Arabidopsis thaliana: one gene and its partners. The protein of the gene in region 3 interacts with the protein of the main gene of each other region in a pairwise test. Each region holds a gene or a part of one and is shown on either strand. Other genes may lie near its edges.

What was found.
Region 1: the proteins of AT2G24700 (region 3) and AT4G01580 interact in a two-hybrid assay, tested with the Arabidopsis thaliana proteins (one large-scale study listed by BioGRID).
Region 2: the proteins of AT2G24700 (region 3) and LEP interact in a two-hybrid assay, tested with the Arabidopsis thaliana proteins (one large-scale study listed by BioGRID).

The regions. Positions count from the first base shown.
Region 1 is NC_003075.7:683,078-689,799, reverse strand, and holds AT4G01580 (AP2/B3-like transcriptional factor family protein), read right to left. Parts: upstream 4,131-6,722; 5' UTR 4,010-4,130; coding exon 3,878-4,009; intron 3,645-3,877; coding exon 3,266-3,644; intron 3,194-3,265; coding exon 3,132-3,193; 3' UTR 2,914-3,131; downstream 1-2,913. Other genes in the region: AT4G01590 (DNA-directed RNA polymerase III subunit), read left to right, coding at 1-22, 109-162, 239-285, 366-458, 564-615, 704-723.
Region 2 is NC_003076.8:4,479,215-4,485,821, forward strand, and holds LEP (Integrase-type DNA-binding superfamily protein), read right to left. Parts: upstream 4,034-6,607; 5' UTR 3,872-4,033; coding exon 3,236-3,871; 3' UTR 2,914-3,235; downstream 1-2,913. Other genes in the region: AT5G13890 (plant viral-response family protein (DUF716)), read right to left, coding at 726-1,658; AT5G13900 (Bifunctional inhibitor/lipid-transfer protein/seed storage 2S albumin superfamily protein), read right to left, coding at 2,132-2,262, 2,338-2,662. UniProt on the Arabidopsis thaliana protein: Cell division-promoting factor involved in leaf blade differentiation, inflorescence branching, as well as in carpel and silique shape. Promotes the number of xylem cells.
Region 3 is NC_003071.7:10,510,081-10,519,308, forward strand, and holds AT2G24700 (Transcriptional factor B3 family protein), read right to left. Parts: upstream 5,332-9,228; 5' UTR 5,209-5,331; coding exon 5,131-5,208; intron 5,056-5,130; coding exon 4,776-5,055; intron 4,701-4,775; coding exon 4,564-4,700; intron 4,470-4,563; coding exon 4,202-4,469; intron 4,135-4,201; coding exon 4,025-4,134; intron 3,937-4,024; coding exon 3,672-3,936; intron 3,588-3,671; coding exon 3,301-3,587; intron 3,212-3,300; coding exon 2,969-3,211; 3' UTR 2,804-2,968; downstream 1-2,803. Other genes in the region: AT2G24696 (transcriptional factor B3 family protein), read right to left, coding at 25-198, 306-430, 750-822; GLR2.3 (glutamate receptor 2.3), read right to left, coding at 6,800-7,183, 7,255-7,661, 7,757-8,069, 8,154-9,228.

The DNA of each region.
Region 1 (6,722 bases), on a different chromosome or scaffold from region 3:
TTCCCTAAAGAACTTCTTGGAGGTTTGTTTTTGTTTCCACCATCTCAATACTCTTTAGATGTGTTTAGTTTCATCTTGCTGATTATCATTTGGATTATGCGATTTCAGATACTCGAAGAGAACAACGGCCTGTGAAGAGAGCTAAATGGAGTCAAGAAGCTGGTACATTGTCTTTATTATTAGTTTTTGTTTTCAACAATGTAACGAGAAGTTTAAGTTCTGTGTTTTTGTTTCATAGATTTGCAGAAATTGGATGTGTTTGAGAAGCTTGAAGCTAAGTTTAAGGTAACTAGTGAAACTTTTAACGGTTCAATGGTTTTTTAAGAGCACTTGACAGTAATGTGTTTTGGATTATGTTTGGTTAGGTTGAAGGCAAGGAAGAGAAAGAAGAAGGGGAAGATGATGAAGAAGTTGTGGAATCAGAAGGAGAAGAATCTGATAACGGAGATTATGATCAGGTTTTTGCTTATTTTTCAGATTAATGTTTGAATTGATACCTTGTGTGATTCTTCTTCTTCTTCTCAAGTTACTTAACAACTTTGTTCTTGAATGTTTTTTTGTAGAATCAAGACTTTGATGATGATGACGACGATTATAATAACGAGGATGATGGATGTAAGAGTCATCATCTTTATTCTAAGATTGCATCCTTTAAACTTTAAAAATGATTCTAGCTAACTTTGTTTCTCTCTTTTCTTGCCAGTAGTTGAAGAGGTGTATTAAGCTGCTTCTCCTTTTTCCCAAAACAATCAAGTTTTGCAGTCAAGAGAAGCTAAGCCTGTCCCAAGCTTTAGTTTTATTTAAAAACTCTCAAGGCATTTATTTGTTTTGTTCCCTTGGTTCTTATCATATTGGAACCATCCCCTCGAACTGAAGAATATGAAATTCATGTTCAAGCGTACAAATTTCTGTTTGGTTGAAAATCACAGAGCTTTACGTTCTTCACTCAAGAATTTCACTAATCTTCCATAAAGTTAGTAACCACTGAGCTTTAGTGTCGTACATTTCGCACAAGATGTCTATTTGATTCGACTAATATTCAATTTAGACAAATTCTTCAAGCTAACAAAGCAAATCAAACTTTGTCCTCCCAATGCTTTACACTTCTTGTATTGCTGCATTAATTCCAGCTGAAACCATTAAAATCATTCTGGAAGCGTTGTTGCATAGTTTTCATCATGTGTTAAGAACGTAACGCTGTTCGGTTACGTGTGTTGAGCAAGCGATCTTCACCATTCTTGTTGAAACTTAGTTGTGTATATTTTTCACTGTTGTGATGATCTTGACCAATCTCGTTGAATCTTTGAGGTGTATATTATTAACTGTTGTGATACTACCTCCTGTGTTCATGTAATCCAACTTCTATTGTAGCCTGTTATTATTATTGTGTTATCCCATGATATCCACGAGGCTTCATGTTTTTACTTTTACAGAAGTACACAGAATCTTCTTATACAAGAGTTTTATCAATTGATAGTGCAGTTACTACTAATCAAACCCATTTTATATTATCTTCGTCTCTTAAACATCATTCCTTTTGCTACATTTTGTTTCTTGAAACTATTTGGCTAATTCAAGTGAAAGCTTTGGCAAACAATAATGTGTCTTGGTTCCTAATTACAATGATACATATACATTGGCTCCTAATTCCTGTCCAAATCAAAGTAATCTAGAGAAAACTACTAGAGCCTAATCAGAAGATTAAAACAAAAAACAATAAAACTAAACTTGAAAGAACAATTCAGTAGATATTCGAATCTATCCATTGAAGGATATTTGGAATTGAAGGGCAAAAAAGGAGAGAGCTTTTTCACACCCAAAACTGATTCGGATTTTGATATAAGCCTCTGTCTGAACAAGAAGGTGTTCCTATATTTCACATTCCCGTTATTCGGAGGCTATTCATATACATATCACTCTATACACAGATTCTTCTGTCTGAAACTTTTTGGGGAAGAAGCTTTGATTTGAATTAAGAAAACACAAAGAAGCTTCTCCACAAAAACCAAAGAAGCCACGAATCAAAACAATACAGAAAAGTATTGAATGATCAGAATTGATTTACGCCTCCTAACTAAGCCAATAAGTATGAAATTGCCTAAATAACTTAGGGTTCATAAAGCTACTCAAGGAGGCGGATTTTATCCCCAAATATCAAAACACAAAACAAAAACGATAGAGATTAACAAAGAGACTTATGAGGAAGATGAGTTACGAAGAAGACAAGAGTGGCGCAACCCTTTTTATTCACTCTGTTTTCTAGGGCTTTTCTTGGGTTGGGTTGTGAATGACTATTTTACCCTCCCTAATTGACTGACCGGTTAATGTAATGTGGTCTGGTTTTCTTAAACCACTCAATCTGTTTTAACCATTGGCTTTAAGAAAAAAGGCAGAGTAAGATCTGTGAAAATTAAAAAGGCCAGCAATATTCTTTGTACAATATTACAAAGTTTGTAAGGTTACATGAAGTTGTGATTTATTTTGGTGGTGTGGTGATGGCTGATGCAACTTTGCAAACTTCCGCATAGCAAATATCTCTGCCCGTTTTATTGGGACGTGTCGTGACAGTCGCGTTGCTTCTGCGGGATCATTCCATTGGGGCAGGTGGACGTGCTTTAGTGAGGGGCGTGTAAGACTCAGGTTAGAGGAAGGAATCGAACTGTTCAAGAGCATGAAGACAAGATTTGGTGTCACACCGGTTATCCAACACTATGGATGCGTAGTAGATCTTCTTGGTAAAGCGGGGCAGATACAAAAAGGCTTATGAGTTTGTATTAGCTATGCCTATAAAGCCTGACGCTATCTTGTTAAGAAGTCTTTGCAATGCCTGCAGCATTTATGGAGAGACTGTAATGGGTGAAGACATCGGAAAGACTCTTCTCGAGATAGAACGAGAGTAGGAGAAGCTTTCGGGTTCTGAGTGCGAAGATTATGTCGCTTTATCAAAAGGTAGAGAAGCTGAGGAAGGAGATGAAAGAAAGAAGAATCAAAACACGAGCTGGTTACTCTTTTGTTTAACATAGCTTGTTACAGGTCAGGATTCAAAACACTACTCATTTAGTTTCATCAAGTCATTAATTAACATTACACAACAAATAAACTTGCAGGTCTCGGTTCTGTTAAAAGCTCTGTTATCCCCTGAGGACTCTCTTGTCTTCTTCTTCTTCTTTAAGCACTTGCATCACATCAACATCTACACACAGATAAAGATATTCAGATCCCAATCTTCTTAATCATAACGTTGTTATGAACAAAGTCTTCTTACCGTGTAGAATCTTGTCAAACTCGATGTCTCTTGGTCTCTTCTTGGATTTGTGCTCTGTATCAAACTCTTTGCCTGTAATTTCAATTACATCATCGTCGCTGTCGATGATATGAACTGCATCCAGAGGATAGTTGGTCTCGCAAGCCGAAGCATTGAAGATTATTACACGGAAACTCGAATTCTTCTTGTATTCGAACAAGAGAAAGTGGCCTTCCTCGATGGAATGAGCCTCTGCAAACTCACTCCAACCCTCATGGAACCAAATCTCTTCACCGATCCGTTTAAGCTTTATGGAACGCTTATATCCCGCAGGAGTCACTAATGTAACAACCTCTGAGAGTTTAGACCCTTGTAGCTTTACGAATCTTGGCGGAATCCTCTGCTCAAAAACATAAATAGATTTTCAGAAACAAGTAACAAAATGTCAGATCTTAAATTCTCTACATTTCTTAAGAACAAATTATCAAATTAGTGTATCCCTTTTAGATCTCTAATCCAAGATAAAACAAAAGAAATGGACACTGTTTAGTGAATCTGCAGATATTGAAACAGGAATAACAACACACATGCAAACACTTTATTTCAAGTTTTTTCAAAGTATTAGGTAATTACCATCATCTTATCCTTCATCGTTGAAGGTAAGACCAACTTGAAGAACTTCTTCACCGGCGACTCAGGATCTTGCTGTGATTGGCGGTGAGAGACTGAGGTGGCTCTGGCCTTCATGTTTCGGGTAATAACCATTTTTGTTTGCCTTGCTCAGACAGAGAAGAGAAGGAGAAAATTGAGAGTAGAGAGTGATGAGTGGAGACTCGTTAAAGAGGCGTAAAAGAGAAACCGAGAAGCCAGATAAGTTTTCTTGTCGTTATGTTAGTAAGATTTTTATCTGACGAGTGTGACAGAGTTACTTTAACTCTTATGTAGTTTTCCAACACTCTTTTTGTACAGTTCTCAAGTCAAAAGATAAGTCTTACCATTATTGAAGTTTTTTTTTTCCTTTTGGTATACAACCTTCTATTTACATATATAATTTTTGTAAGAATTTTAGACAAAAAAACCTTAAAATAGTATTTAGTTTTTAATCTTTACAAAATTTATCTAAAAATTTTTTGTTCTACATTTATTTTTGTATCTAATTTATTTGATTTTATATATACAATACATATACTCAATAAAATATTAGTTTTTTTTTACTGCATATAATGTAATTTAAATTTTTAAAAGAAAAATATATTACTCAATTGATAAAAAAAACATGTATAAAAAATTCTATATTATTTAAAAATTTAGATTATGGTTCAGAGTCATATTATAAAAAAGACCAAATTGATTTTGAATACGAAGGAACAAAAAGCTTATAATGGGACTATTGTGGCTGTTAAAAAAAGCATCCAAATTAAAAGTGTTATCTCGTTTACTCTGGTTCTTTATTTTAAAGAATTGAATCAATAATTTTTTAAAATATTATAAATATTAAGATTTTATTAAAAGTTAATTATTACAAATTTTACGACTTTTAAAAGTTAAACTTTATAACTATAAATATTTAAAAATATATATGGTGAAATTAAAATATACTAATAGGACGATATACTACAGGTTAGATCCAAATATAATAATCAAAATACAATTATAAAGTTTGGATCGATATTAATTTTTTTTTAAGTTTGAGACATTAATAATATTTGAACTCTATCAGAAAATGACAAAAAATGTTTAATTTCCCTGGATGTGATTTAATGTGGGATGAGTTTGGATCGATATTAATATGAGATGATATACTATGAAGAAATTTTATAATTAACAATCAAAATACAATTATACGATTTTAAAAACTAAACAAAACTAACAATATTAACAAAACAAATATAAGGTGTATCATACATAAAAAATAATAACATATATTTATAGATCATCTTAAAAACAAAAATTTAATTTTTGATAAAAAAAAAAATAGGTATATAGTATATCTTTTAATATGTTGTTCAAATATTAAAAATATTAATTAAAATAAATCTTTAGTTTTTTGCAAATCAATCTCTAGTATAAATTTTAAAAAATAGCATTTAAATTCGCTTTTATCAATAACCAATGTATAATTAGTTGCTACATGTCATAACAATCAAAGCCTAGTTTCTAATAAAGACTAACAACACATATTCCTAATAAACACTGAACTAGATTTTAACCCGCGGTATACCGCGAGATGATTTATTTTTAAAAAGTAATATATATTAAAACTTGCAAATTTATTTTTATAAAATATTTATATTTTACAGTTTATAATTGTTATTAAGTAACGCTATACCACAAATCCATTAGACAATTATTAAAAAACTGAAGTTTTAACCCTATTAAAACAACATATTAATAATATTTTAAAATTTTATAAATATTGATTCAAATACATCCACCATATAACTCAATTCCAAAATAAAACTCGTTCTGTAATTTCTTTACCCGTCCCGTGATTTTTTAATTAAAGTAGTAATTTTAAAAATTTAAGAATTATTTATTAAATATAAAAGTTTTGCAAATTGTATCATTCTCTAATACATTTATATTTTATAGTTTAATTTTATATATAGTAACATTATACATACCACGTAACATTTTTGGTTTTATATAATCTTTTCTAAATTAGGATGATTTGATATGTTTAATATTAGTGGTCTTAAAAAATAATAAAATAAAAATTTAACCCGTATTGAAACGGTGGATTAATTAGATTTTACTTTTTTATTAATGTTGATTCAAAAACCCGTCCCTCCAAATCCGTCTTGCCAAAAAGCCATTTATTTTATTAATATTAATTTTATTTATGATATGACTCTGAATTATAATCTAAACATTTTAGCTAATAACATAGAAATGCACCATATTTATTTAATAGGAGAATGTACTATATGACCGGAATGCACTTTTACCCAAATCCACCAAAAAAGTCTTGCAAAAATACTATAGACCCGAATGTACCATATTTTTTTTGTGCTAATTTTTCTGTGATTATGATTTAATTGATTTCGTATATAAAATATTAAATTGTTTTACGAACTTATTTGTTTATAATTTGGTAACAGATAGATATTTGAATATTCGGTATATTTTGCTTCAGTTTAGGAAATCTTTGATGACCCGTCTTTAAATCCAATAAGCCCTACAATTAAGAGATGAATATTGTCGTTAAATAATTTTGGTAATCTTAATGATGTCATTAAAAGATTTTGTTTTTGATTTAAATTTTCTAATGGCATTGTCATGTAATTAATTACAAAAATTAAGGTTACATTTAAAATGTATTTCCCAAATAATATAGTAGGATATGGAGATATTTATACAATTTACTTTTTCTTTACCTGCTTTGGACATTTGGACTTGATATATAAAAAATTTAATTTTTCCTAATATTTCTTACATTTCAATATTATATAACCTAAAATAAGATAATGAATTTCAA
Region 2 (6,607 bases), on a different chromosome or scaffold from region 3:
TCAACAAACAAATCAAACCTATTGTTAGCATTATAACATGTATCTTTTCAAGTAATTAACAAGAGTACCAAAGTCTGTAACATCTTAAATTGCAACCAATGTTTGAATTCATTTCAACATATCTTTGTTTTTTCGTTAAAGCTAACTCAGACTGCGGTGAAAGACAAAGAAGATGATAAGGATAAAGTGGTTGCGACGAAATGAAAGAAGGATGTGATAACATGGCAAGCCTTTAGCTTAGGCAGTCCCATGTCAAAGAAGGTAGATGAGAAACATACCTTGGGTTCCTCTTCTTTTCCTTATTTGACATGAGATTGCCAAGCTATAAGGCTTGTGTTAATACTTTTTCATATTCTCTTGTGCAATCTGAAAGTTTTATCTTCATCCATATCATCATCTTTGTCTTTCACCACCACAGGGCAGGCTGAGTTTGTGATAACCAAGACAAACTTATAAATGTAACATGATGGAAACAACATTTCCAGAAACCAAATGGAACATAAACATCAGCTAAAGTGACAATTAACCATGCTATTCTCAATCAACAAGGACTATACCATCATTCTTCTATTAAGCAAGTCATCACCATCTTTCATCTATACGAGGATTGAACATTATATATTGAACAAACAAAATGGGATAAAGACTTGTCAAAGCAGCAACAAGTTCCAAAAGAGTGACTGAGAGCTTACAAAAAAGGCAAAGCGATAGGATTTGATAAGGTTTCAAGCCTGAGTGCCTGTCAACGACTTCATCTGAATGTGATTAGAATCAGCATTGTTAGTCGGCAAAGCTTCATAAGAACCAGTTCTTCTCACTCCGGCCGCCATCACCACCATCGTGTAAGTCACAAAGATGAGGATAACCACAAGCACGACGTGTACAGTGAACATTAGATCCAATATAGAAACAGCTCTTAGCTTAGAGTCCTGAATATCACATTGGGTTGATCCTTCAACACCGCTTTGAACATCAAGAAGACGATGACATCCCTCAGGAATAAACCCATCAACGTAGAGAGAGAGTCCAGTCTGAAGCTGCCAGAGACCTTGAAGACAAATGGCAGCAGCGAGAGCAGCGTCAGCAATAAAGAGTCTTGAACGGCAAGCGAGAAGCAAACAGAGGAGAGAGCATAACGCGGAGATACGAGCAGAGAGGGAATCACAATGAGCTTGAAGATCAGATGTTTGAATTGCAGCTGATGAAGACGCGGCGGAGTAATGGAGGAAGAAACCAACGGAGGCGAGTGCGAAGAGGAGATCGGAAGGGAGAGGGATTAACGAGGTTGAATCGGAGAGGAGATAGTAAATGGCGATGATGAGGAAGAGGAAGAACACGGCGGCGGAATTGAGAGATGAGAATCGGTGAACAGGAGTACTTCCTTTGACGAGAGGATCGGAGTAGAAGGAGATTAGGGTTTCGTGAAGGAAAGCGACGAATAGAGAGAGTATGAGGATGAACAGTGGTAGATTTTGGAGGCGGTTGTGATTGTGGTGGTTGTTTCCGGTGACGGAGGAGAGACGTGGAAAAGGGTAAAAGGGTTTCGCGGCGTAGGATTGGGGAGATTTAAGGAGATGGAAGAAAGTGCAGATGAGATGATACAATCCTAGGGTTAGTAGTGACGCTGAAGCGAAGAGCTTGTACATCATCTCTCCCATTTTCGAAGCTTGATTTTAGGGTTTTGTTGTTGTTGGTCGGGATTTGTATGACTGATAAACTTTCTCCGATCTGCTTAAGAGAGGTAATAGAGAGGACGATCTGGTCAACTGCTCCTTTAAGTTGACCGGTTAGTATTGTTAAACCAGCTGACTTTTTCGGTTATTTGACAATTAATTGCACTATTTAAACCGGTTTTATAATGGATTTTCCCGGTAGTTGGTAATTCAATATTGTATTTGTCAGGAAGAGATTGATTGGTGCTTGATTTGTTGCAACATGACTACATGAGCATGATGTTTCACATTCTTAACTAATAGAAATGGATTTAGACTATTTATGGGGACGAAGTGGTACATACAATGTGTTGGTGACGACCAATAATCATAATTAACTAATAGAGCATTAAAAAAACAAAGAATCAACCGTCTTAATTAAGCAAAGCAAAGCAAAGCTGCTATAGACAATGAGAGATTCAGCTAATTATGTGATGGCAATATGACAAAACAGTGGCTGCAATAGCTAATGTTGTCATCCAATAGGACTGAGAAAAGGTGTTGCCAATGGAGGAACTTCGGTCTGAGTTTGTAGATCCTCCTCTAGAACCTGCAAGAACACAAAATATTCATGAAACATCTTTTGATTGAAAAAAAAAGAAAGAACTAAGGTTTGAGTGTGTACGAGTCAAGCAAGCAATGGGATTGACATGTTCTCCACATCGAGCAGGCAACATTTGAGCATCATTGACATCGATGCCAGCTCGCTCGGCTTGAGAACTCCAACGGTTACTAATCATACGGCACAAGCACTCTGGATTGTTCCTTATCACTGATTTGAGAGGATTACAACAAACTTGAGGTACTTCCTTGGTCCCATTCAGGTAATTTAGGCATGGAGCAAGTTGGTTTAGACACGAAACGCTCTGCCCATTTATCCGCATCCCCGAGCTAGCTGCAACTAGAAGAAGTACAACGTAAAAAGAGAAAAACTTCATCCCCATCATCATATCACCTTAGTTTACTATTTTGAGTGTTACTAAAACACTTTTGTACTTGTTTAATTTTTATGTTTGGTGACCAGCTTTTAAGATAGGTAGACATGGTTCACCAGTCAAACCTACTACCACCGTTTGACCATCCTCAACAGGTAAGTTACCAGAAGAACCCATCAAATATGAAATAATTTTACATTACGTAAGCAAATACCAAAACCACAGAAGTAGAATAACAAATTGTTATTCCATCCTAGAATATAGTTCTCGTTCAACCATAAGAAAAACACACAGAGGTTTGGGCTATACAAAGTATGTCATGCCAACTAATAACCCATCGAATAATGGGCTTTTGATGTCCAAGGCCCATATATATTAAATATGTATTTGAAAGTAACACAAGAGCAGTTTCTTGTTTTCATTAATCAAGATACAAATGATAACTTGTTATTGAAAAACTAATGACAAACAGTCACTTTGATCACATAGGCAGAGATCAAGGACGGCGAAACATAGATAAACCCAAAAAAGAAGAAGAAGGAAAAGGTACAAATGAGGAAGGTATTAAATATGGACGATGAGAAAGAATTAGGAGCCAAAGTAGTTGAAACCTTGAGGGAAAGAGTCAGAAACCGGAGGCATTCTGCTGAACATTGGACTATGTACGTACTCAGACGAGTAGTCGTCACCGGTCCAGGTCCACTGTGGTTGGCTATAACACGAATTCGACAAGTCGCTCGGGAGAGGAGGCAGCTCATTACTACTGTCATTAGAATAGCAATAAGAATTCGAAGATTGAGAGCCACCAAACATGTAACTGTCCACTTGATCACAATGAGGCTGAAGCATTGGCGAGTCAGTGGATGAGTATTGGTTAAACATCATCATGTAATCGACAGGATCATTGCTAGGAGGAGCAGGAGGAGGTGGAGGAGGAGGAGGATCGTCAGGAGAAACAATGGAGGTGACGGATGAGGAAGGAGGCATGTCTGAGTAAACAAAGTTGGTTCTGGCACGTGTGCCACGCATGGACCGAGCAGCTCTATCGTAGGCCAAGGCAGCTTCTTCCGCCGTATCGAAAGTGCCAAGCCAGTGACGCTCCTTCGTAGTTGGGTCTCTAATCTCAGCTGCGTATCTTCCCCAAGGCCTTCTTCTCACCCCAAGAAACCTTGTACCAACCTGATCGTCTTGCTTCTTCTTGCTCTTTGATGATGTTGTGTTCATCTTTCTAATAATGATACTATACCTTTATGCATACACAGATCAATAAATGTCCGATATATCTATCTTTTTTCTAGTTGAAGGAAGAGAGGGAATGTGTGTTGGTCTTGGAAAAGTATCCCTTACCACAACCCTTTTATATAAGAGCTATACCTTTCCTTTTTCTCTCTCTTTTTTCATTGTGTATAATTCTTTTATATATCTTTTTATTCCAATTGAAACAACATTTAAAAATGGCTCTGTGTTGAGTTAATTGTGGCCCATGATATATCAATTATCAGTCAATCAAAAGTATATAATTATGATTAAGTTACCACTTGATAGCATGTTTCATGCATTTCTCAAGGTTGTTCTACACTAGTGATTTCATTTTTATACATGGTTAATTCTGCTAAAATATAATGCTGAGTTCCGACTGCCTTTAATCATACAAGTGCTAATATATCAACTCAATCAATTACAATAGTAATACATAAGAGCTTCTTTTTGTTAGGTGATGTATATATTAGAGAAGAGAGTGAAAGAATAACAAAGAAATTAGGATCATTATCAAAAATAACTTAAACAAATACAATCCGTTAGCATATTATATATAAATATCGATAGATACACATAATCATCATTCATCAACAATAATAAGCTGAAACAAAGGGATTAGGAATGATAAGAGCCATGATTAGCATGTTACCTTAGATACCAGTGTCCCGAGTCTAATAATAATAACATGTCCGAATTGATTAACAAATTAACGAGAGATAACGTAATAGATAAACTATTCAATTCAGAGAATATATTTGGTATAACGCGTCCAAATACTACTGCATGTGATGGTCCATATTGAATGATGGAATGTGCATGAACTGCGAATTTAACATGAAAAAGAGAAGCAAACCCTGATTATTGCATATATGAAAACGCAAACACTTTCCGTCTTATCAATCATACAACACATAAAAAAACAATGAGTTTGGTGTTTTGGTTAAAGTTAATAATTGGTAAAGAAGGGTGCAATGATGGCCGCATGATGGAAGGTAGTCGACTAAATTATGAGGAGGAAAGTCATTACTTAAGCAGCTATTATATCATTATATGTGTATTAATCTTGTATTACTAATACGTCAGAGTAGGGTTTTGACTTTTGACCAACACAAAATTAAAAGAGTTGAAGTCTCATGCATTAGAGAGAGATTATGATATTTGATATGAGTATCTAAGGAAGCAAGTGGTAGCCTTTCTAAGACGATCTTATTTTGTGTCAGAGGAAGACCAAAGACCATTTATGTTTATGTTTGGCTACACGACCAACGTTATGGACGGTGATAGTGGATCGTATCATTTCTTAATCTTTTATAATATATACGTCCCATTTGTCTACATGTACAATAATCACAATGTGTGTTAGCGTTAATTAATTAGAGATTAGTCAAAAACAATATAGGGGTAGTGCATGTGCTCCCAATTTTATAGGCTGCAACTTCAATGAATATTGCCACACCCTTTTTCTTTCATCTCCCACTTTCTAATCCCAAGGCATCTATCTATTTCCTTATAATTTAATCATTTATGTGTTTGTCCTCTTGGCTATGAATATGATATCGTCTCTTCCTAAATTCAGTTTCTCAAATTATATATATTCTGACCAAAATACTCCATTCATATTCATTTGCTATATACTATTTTAAAACAAACATGCATTATTGAGAACAAAGGAATTTGGGTTGCATGTGAGCAATCTTTTATGCTTTTGAAATTTTATCTTTAATCTTAATTTCATTGGAGTAAACAAGCCCTATAATTTATGTTCCCTCACTTTTGACCAACTCTCATTTTTCTCGTTTAATTTTATATTCTAAAGTCCAATCTTGATGCATTGAATCTTGTTTACATTTACGTTCCGCTTCTATTCTCTATCGCCTCTTATTATTCTCCGATATCCACAGACCACAGGTTTCTTTACTTAATTAGTACTACGTTCTCATGGTCTACGGTGGAATATTAGTACATGTAAGAACTATATAAAATGTATCAATGGACAAAATATTTATACGAATCCTACTTAATTAGGATTTAGGTCAAGAGCCCTAATTAAGCCCTCCCAGTCAGATCACCGCCTTTTTCACTACCATCACTACTCTTAAGTGACTTCGGCATTTGCAATACCATTCTCGAACGTTGTATGTAACGTCCTCGAACAACTGGAGATATACACAAGCTGACAAGTGAACACATGCATATCCCAATTCTTAACTATATCAGTTTTATGGAAATTGGAAGGATGTTTTGTTCTATGGTCCGAGTCTCAAATTGACGAAACTAGCAATTCTCTATAACTCATCTCGAACTATTCTTGATGCAAATAATTTGATGATCAATTATCTGAGGGTTTGGGCCTCTAATTGTGTTAGTTTAGTAGAAACTAGAAAGAAAAAAAAAGGGAAGAAAGAAGAGAAGGCATGTGCGCCCAACGTGGAAAGGCATTTTCTTGGACGCTTAACATAATTAATCCTTTTTCTAATTATTGCCTAACACAAACATCTTTTGTCTTACTTAAATCTAATTACTCTTTTAATCAAACGACCATGTGATGAGCGCACTAAGTAGATTCATAATTCTCAACCACATTCAAAAGTTAAAAACAAAGTATGTCTGCTTTTGGCTCATCTAAACCTGAAGGTGACATGGGAGAAAATTTAGGGGCACGAGCTTTGCAGTCACCTATCAATTAATCCATTAATCTAA
Region 3 (9,228 bases):
TTCGAACACAAAAAAACTTCCTACCTTTTTCCCGTTTTCGTCACAGAAATGTCTCCAACCTCTGGTTATGCAAAAACTATCTAAGTTTTTGTCGAACTTCAGATCCATTTCCCATGATCTATCCCCTCCATCTGTTAGAAAAATCTTGCGGCATTTTTTATTTAGACCATTAGAACTTGTGCAATCTTGTGGAAGATACTGCAAGGGTTCACAAAAGAAGTGTTGTCAGATGAAGAAGAGCCAGTGCCAGTGTTCACAAAAACAAAGGGGTTCACAAAAGGGCTAAACAATTTAAGTAAACGTACCAGTGCATCTTCCTTTAGATTTGAAGCCTTGACAAGGGCTACAAAAGAAGAGTTGCCAGATGAAGAAGAGCCAGCTTCGGATTGTGAACTGTTCTTCCTCACTTTTTTTACTCTTTCAAGCTGATCTGTGTCAAATAAACAAATCCCACATGTTAAAACCATCTTCGGATCGAAAACTTTATGTTTTTAAAACTCATCAAACTAATATAGAACGGAAGTGATGATGAAACCGGTCTTGTCTTGATCATCATGACCTTCTTCTGTCCTTAGACGCTGATGCTTCTTACTTGTGTAAAACATGTAAGAAATCTCCGTTCATATAGATGCAAACAAGGCTTTTTTTTGTACAGATTTTCGAAATCTTTCTTCAAAGGATTGTTCTCTCAACTCAGATCTGACTATAGCTCGTTGATTAAAAACGAAAATCATCAGAACAAAACGTACCGATCTTGTTGATATCATTGTTGCTGGGCATGGGTTTGTCACGGATGTCACAGGCGCTGACGTTGAACAGCATCGTTGTCAGTGGAGAAGAATTAATTTTGATATTCTGGTCGGAGAGAAAAAGAGACGGAGATGAAACTGTGTAATGTCCGAAATGATTTTAGACCCAACAAAGAAAAAAAACCTAATGTTCAGATAAGAATCTTCTTTTACCTTTTAGAGAGCATGCACTTTTGGGAAATTTTTAAACATGGGCGCGTACGTAGACTAAATAATTATGAGTTAAATCTAGTTGATGATTTTGTTAAGGAATTTGACCAACCTTGGTTTTGCTTATACTTTTTAAATTTTTTGTTTTATGGGGCTTCTAAAATTCACCTTTCTTTACTAGATGTAACTTTAATTTATGAGATGATTTGTTAACGGTTATTTATGAGAGAAATTAATATTTCAACCAAATTGACGGATTATTGTTAAGTGGTTAAGCTCCCGCGCAAAACTAATATCTTTTTAGATTGGTTGAAAAGCTGAATCGGATAAGCTATTGGATTTGTAAAATTTATTTTTTTTTGTTTTTTTTGCTTCTAAGAGTTTTTTAGAAAACTTTTTATTCTTAAGAAGTTAATTTGATGGATAATAATCGTTGACATGGGTTTGTAGTTTAATTTGGTATGGTCAAGGTTTTATTCTTAGGAAGTTAATTTAATGGATAATACTCTTTTTTACTAGATAAGTTCCCCCGTACAATGTTTTTAACAAGCTAAGAAGTTAAGTCAGATAAAATATGGGTTTGTAATTTAATTTAGATTGGTCTAGCTAGTTTTTATTAGTTTTCCATTCAACGTTTATTTTTTTTAAGTAGGTCTTCTCGTGGTATGTCATAGATTCTGTTTTTTCTACATCGATTATAGTTATGTTATACAATAGTTTTGAGGGTTCATCTAATGAGAATCTATGAAAATCCACAACATGACCTCTCAAATTAGCATCTAAGTATATAGAAATACACTAAGTCTCCTTTAGCTTAGTAAAATGCTATATACACATGTATTATAAATACTAGTTGTAATATTATGATTCGATTATGAGAATTTACTTTCTGATTATGAATAATATGGTATGAGAGCAAAGTGCTTAACAAACTTTCTCTCTTTCTCGTTCTTCTCTATTTTCCCGGAAAATTAAAATTTTCTTTATACATGTGTTATTTTTTCAAACCGAAATATACCATATATATATGATACATTATTGTTAGATTTTCTTTTATATCATTACATCATATTTCTAAAATATATTTTTCTAATATGAAAAACAAGAGATATTTTCCCTATATTTTATCTTTATTTTCTTCACATTAAAATAAAATAAAATCATTTGATAATAAAATAATTAAGGATTTTTGTCGGTTTTTGTGTCGGCAGTTTATGGTATAATATCTTATAATTTGTTTCTGTTTTTTTCCTCTTCACTTTACTATAAATGTGAGAGATTTTCCCTATATTTTCCCTTTATTTTCTTCACATTAAATAAAATACAAAGAAAGATCAAATCATTTGATAATAATATAATTAAGGATTTTTGTGTCTGCAATTTATGATATAATATCTTACAATTTGTTTCTGTTTTTTTCCTCTTCACTTTACTATAAATGAGAGAGATTTTCCCTTGATTTTCTTCACATTAAACAAAATACAAAGAAATATCAAATCATTTGATAGTAAAATAAGTAAGGATTTTTGTCCATTTTTTGTTTCTGCAATATATGGCTTAATATCTTACAACTTGTTTCTGTTTTCTTCCTCTTCACTTTAATATAAATGACTCTTCACTTTAATATAAGTTACATTTTCCTATATTTTATCTATGATTTTCACATCATTTAAAGTAAAATATAAAGATAAAAATATATGATGATAAAAAAAGATATACAGTATAAGATGTTAATTTTGATTTTTTGCTACATGTATAGCAGATAGCCCTTTAATTAGAAGTCTATCTCTACTACATACTGAAGTATGAAGTTTATGATTGGTGTCGACAATCAAGATGTTTAGTGACCCCCAAAAATAATTATATAAAATCTTTAACGATTCTTGTTTAGTAAACCAATATTATCTGAATTAATGATGATTTAAACGGCATTTTTTAACATGAAAATTAAACCATAGAAGGAAAGAAGTTTATTTGAGCGATGATCCTAGACATTCTTAATATTGTTCTCAAACTTTGGAACAAAACTTAAGAAGAGGAACTGTGTCTTCCCAAATCAACTCCAAGATAAACGACTCATTCATCTCAACACCATTAACCTCGCAGAAACCTTTTGAACCTCTTCCTAAACTCATTGTTCCGATCTTGTCCATCAGTAGTGAAGTACGCCATTTTGCATCGTATCTATCAACCATCGTTATCTTCCCCGCCTTTTTGATTCCATTCCGCTTCATGAATTCAAACGGAAGATTCTGTAGATACCATCATCAGATTATATATCGAGAGTATTAAGTGGAAAAAAAAAAACAAGAAAAAAACAGAGTTTTCTTGTGAAACTTACAAGTTTACTTGAATGTGTAAGTGTTAAGGTCACAAATCGGTTTTGGCTTGTTGAGTTTTTCTCTTCTGTGGAAACATATTCTTGTTTAATAGTTTGTGAACATTGTCCTTGCCTTATATCTTCATTGATAGGTTCAGCAAAAGGAAGAGTATCTTTCTCGCTAGCTTTAAAGGAGTCATTACAGTAAACTTCTTCCCCAAGAAACTCATTTTCTGTGGCTTCCATGCCAAGAAACTCTTTTTTGGTAACTTTTAAACTCTGTCCATGCCTTGTGTCATTGCTAGGATCTGCAGAGGAAGAAAGTGCTTCTTGTTATTCAATTTTATTTCAATATTTTTGTTTCTTGAAAGAATAAAGCATAAACAACTTACTAAGTTTGTGTAGATCTTCACTGTTCAAGGGTAACAACTGGAGCACAGGTGTTTCTTCGTTATGGACTAATTTGAATTTGAGCAAGTCTCCTGGTTTCTTCCCATTAGCCACACAGAATCTTCTCCAACCTCTTATCGTTAAAAACCGGCCTGTATGTGCCTCATGTTTCACATCTATCGTCCATGATTCTCCCTCTTCATTCATTAGACACATCTGAAATTTCTTCAACAAACCATTTGACATAATGAACGTCTTCGGAAGATACTGCAGTCAAGTACAGTCACCATGAATATCATTAAAACACCTCTCAGTCAAATCAAAATCAATATATGTAAGTCAGGAGTATCATAACCAGTCTATCTCGGCTTAGATTTGAAGCCGTGACAGTGGCTACAAAAGAAGAAAGGTCCGGTGAAGAAGGAGCTGCTTCTGTTTTTCGAATCTTGTGTCTTGGAAGACTCTCTGTATCAATTATAGAATCTGATTGAGATTTTTCTCAATAACCAACGGATTATGAAAATTAACTTACGAAGTTTGTCTAAATCTTCAATGGTCATAGGGAACAACTGTATCATAGGTGTTTCTTCATTTTTGACCAATTTGAATGCAAAAACGTCTCCAGGTTTCTTCCCATTAGCAATACAGAAACTTCTCCAGCCTCTTCTCATGTAAAACCGGCCGTAATTATATGCCTCGCGTCTCAAGTCTATCTTCCATGATTCTCCTTCTTCATTCATTAACACAATCTGATATTTGTTCATCAGACCATTTGACAATGCAAACTCTTTCGGAATATACTGCAAATGCCGCCACAAGCCAAGTTAGATAGAGTTATCAAGAATATACAATAACATAAAAATTACTGTAATGAGTAATATGGAAGTAACATACCAATGTATCGCGCTTTAGATTCGAACCCGTGACAGTGGCCACAAAACAAGAATCTAGTGAATTGTCTGGTGCAGACTCAGCTTCTCTCTTTAGACTCTTTTTCTTACTTGAAACATTCTCCGTACCACAAAGTTTCTCTGTTGATAGATTAAGTAATATTCTTAGACTCATTCTAAATGTGCTAATGATATTTAATATGAAACTAAGGTTACCAATTTTATCCTCTTCAAGGGTATCTTCTCCGTATTGAATCTCACAGCAACTTGGTCCTAAAGCTGTGACATGGAACACTAACTCTCCTTCTTGTCTGAAAACAACAATGTCACCAACTCGGAGATCATGTGCGATTGTGAAATCTTCCCAACCATTAGAGAGTCTCCGGCCGTCTATCTTCACTTTCCATGTCATCTCCGATGCATCTGATCTGAGCTCAGCCGTTTTTCCTACGTTAGTTCCCACTAAGTACTTCAAGAAGAACGCCACAGGAATGTCCTGAAACAGCATGCTAGATGAGTTACAAACAGAAGTAACTTAACTGGTCGGAGAGAGTATAGAGAAACAGAGTACCAGGTGGTTGGTGAAACCGGGAAGAAGTGGTTGGAAGAATTGTGGGTTGATCGGAGAATAGAGAAGTGGATTAGCCATATTCAGACGTTGAATTTTTTTAAGTTTTTCTTCTTCTGAGCGGAGAGAAGATGAACTAACAACTTTGTATCCCTTACTTCTGTAATGTAAAAAAATAACCTTTCTCAGCTTTCTATACAAAACGTCAAAGAAACTTTCTCAGCTTTTTCTATAAAGCAATGTTAAAAAAGACCTTTATCAGCTTTTTCCAAAGACTATATATTGTTTTCGAAAAAAACAAGTTTTGACTGAGAATAGTGTTGGGATTGAACATAAAGACTCTGATTGGTTATGGAAAATATTCATCAAATAAACTTAGCAAATATCAATGAACGAGAAAAATAAATCTTGAGAAGACATTGGTCTTTAACCAAAAGAAAGAAAAAAAGAAGAAGAAAAAGATCTGAAACTAAATATGCTTAATTCAACACGTAGGTACCATAATAATGTAAAAATAGTTTACAAGAAATTAAATCTTAGGAAGTGAAAACATTCATGTTTGCTATCAAAATATCATATGGTTTTGACAGTAAATTAGTTAGTTACGTTGTGGATTCGTTTTTGTCAAAAAGAATAAGAATTCGATTCTTTGTTTGCATTTACGTTTATATTTTTCAAAAAGTGAGTTTATTGTAAAACTGAAAAACGTTTTGTATTTTTAACAATGTAAAAGAATATTTTAAGTACACGCAAAAAAGGCTTAAAATAATAGTGTGTTCAATCTTCAATGTAAGCAACATTTCTCTTGAAACCACAAACAAAAATCACGAGAGGGAACTATTTGTACATCAGTATTCAGTAGCACTGTAGGAATACGTATCACGTGCATCTAGGCTATCTCTTTATTCCCCACAAAGCAAAAAAAGAAAAAATCCAAACTAATCACTACAAAGTACAAAGCGCAACGCACCAAAATATCCATCTTTTCTTTTGTTTGTGAACAGTTCCATCTATTGTCTCCTTTTCCAGTGAAAACCAATATGTATTGGGTCTGAATGGAAGAACAGAGGAGTTACGGATATAAAGCAGAGCAGGACAAACACAATTGTATCTTAATAAACCAATATATCCAGTTATTCACCTGTACTTGGTTTTGTCCTACTACAATAATAGATTTGCATTTGAATGCATTTAAGTATATTAAAAAGTGGTTAAACTAACACTATTACTACAATTATCCAAATTATTTTCGTTTCTAATATTTATTCTTTCTATTTTCTACTTCTATGTTAAAATGTCTTAATTGTCAAACTATGAAATCCACATCTCACTTTGCGCTGAGACCACATCTTTTTTTCAGCATAAACGTGAAAATTTCTTTAGATTATATTAACTGCATATAAGTATAACCCAAAAAAGAAAAAGTATAACCCTAATTCCAGATAAGTTAATATGCTACTAGTCGTTAGCACATAAGAATTTATAGCATTAGGTTTAATGTCTTGCATAACACGTAATAAAATCTACCTCTATTGTAACTTTGATAGTCTCTCTTAAATGGGTCATTTGTTTCTGAAAATCCTTATTTACAAAATAAAGTACAATTCTTCATTCAAAAGAAAAAAAAAGTACAATAGTTTGGTATAATAATAGCATATGTTTTTTTGTTAAATTAAAGACTGTCTTGGTCATGAACTTGAGACATATTTAATTGTGTCTTCCTCTTGACAGGCATTTGTTGACTTGATGAACACGGACTCATCTCTACCTTATCGAGGTACGAAACCTGGTCTTTCGCTAGGAAACAATATGTGAAATTTCCGAGTGCCATAACACACACAAGTAACACGCCAACAAACAGAAACAAGAAACTGTCTATGTCAAGCTGCCTAGAGGTGAAAGAGGGATTTGGATCTGGATTAGTAATTGGATCAGGACAGCTTTGTTCTTTCTTCTTGAACCATGCACGCTCGAGCTCCATTGCCTTTGGAGACTCTGCTACTTTTAAGATGGCCCTTGAAACATCGGCCACTAGAGGTGATCCGATTGGAAAAACCTGCGAAAAAGGACTTATGATCTCTCACCATTTAATGCAATTTTCACATAAGTTTTGATATAGGAACTTACAAAGCCGAATCCATCAACATTGAAGGGTTCTTCAACCATTTTGTATGTGTTGCAAAACTGTCCAAGAAAGAGTCTCAAGTAAGGTATTTCCAAGAAAGCTCCAGAGACACCACCTTTTTTTGGTCCTTTACTTAGAAGCTCATCACATTCTTCTGCAGTATCAAAGGGCACAAGGCTAGATTGCGGGAAACCTCTTTCTTTAAGCTTTCCAAGGATGAAGGATGTTCGCTGATAACCCACTGTTTCTCCTTTTTCAAGCAAACTACTCATGCTGGTTATTGTTGGATTTAATTTCTGTGATGTCAAAAGCGATGCCAAACTCGCTGTGTAACTCTGGGTTAACACGAGAACGAGAAAGTACCATGCGATAACCAGGGCCCTCGCCCAAAAGCTAAATACTCTTTCTCCTGCAGACAGGGAATCGAGAATAAGAATCAAGCAAGGTGCATGATATATAGGAACATATATATGCTGACATGTAGAGAGGGGAGATTAAATGTACTTGGAGCAAAAACCATGGTAGAGAAGGCAAACCAACAGATGGTACTAGCTTGGAATCTAGGCGGTCCACTAAAGTCCGGATTACGCTTATATTCGAGAACCCATACAGTACAACCGACAAGGAAGAAAGAGATAAAGGAAGTCAACCATAGTTTCCATGACAAAGGTTTCATGAAAAGTATATAGTCTCTCTTTACTGGGTCTGTCATTTCAACGATCAATCCGACACCTGATTTAATAAATGGGAATGTGAAGTCGACGTAAGAAGACCTGTTCACCAATATGGTTGTATCTCCCACAACCGCATCATATCTCTGTGACAGAGAAGCAAATAAGAGTTCACTTAGTATAGTTATAAATGCTATATTGATGAATGATTAGTATGTGCTCATACTCACCCCGAGGTACACTTGGTAGACCAAGTCGTTGTAATTACCGGCTGTTTTTCCGTCGGGTTTTTCGAAAGGTATGAACTCATATGAGACGTCATAAGGCAGTTCTCGAATCACAGCCTCAAAGAAATCTATGCAAAAACCTGTGACTACAGTTGAATTGGTAATAGGATCCCTTGTGACTTTCACAAGATCAGTGTAGCCGGTTCTTTTGGGAACTCCAATACGCAACTTCTTCCCCTTAGTCGGGATCTGCCATCCTTTCGGAACAGAATCCGCCTCTCCAGGCCATACAATGTGTTTAAGATGATCTTTCCAAGTAGATAAAGCGCTTATGCTACTTGCTTGCTGATCAAGTTTCTTCACAAGACCATTTCCCTCCTTCCAAAATCCTATTGATTTTTCTCCGGTATTGATTATATTGACAATCTCAAACACCGATGGTTGCAGTTGCCCGCGGAAAAAACGAAACTCTCCTGCAAGTCCTCTGAACTGAACTGTTAAGAGTGTTTGGAGAAGCTTTGGACCGAACTGAGATAAACCAAGAGCTTCAAGTTCAGAAACATTCCTCCCTGTATCCACCACTTTACTGAAAGTCATGTTATTTGTTCCAGCTTCTTCAATGGCTACCGCTAGTGCGGTGGTAGCATCATAAGCCCACAGACCATAGACACTCAGCTCCACCCGTGGGAATAAACTTCTCCATCGAGATCTAAACTTCTCAAGATCTGGGGATTTTGGAATATAAGTTTTAATACCCAATACCCCCTCCATAGCCTCAACAGCCGTCTCATTTATCAAACTTAAGTCATCGATAACTCCATTGGTAAGGATCCAGACATATCCTGGTTCCATCAAACCAAGCTCTTTTGCTTTAATGAAGAATCTTGAGGCAAGATCATAGTACATGTGGACAAGGAACACTCTTGTGGGCATGTTCATCATCTTAAGAAGCTCCACGGAGATTTCATGATCAGTGGCATTGATAGCGATAACGGATCTATAAGGTATCCGGACATTAATATCTTGTAAAGCATCGGTAAGACGAGGCATTATACCTTCACCAAAGGTGTTGTCAATG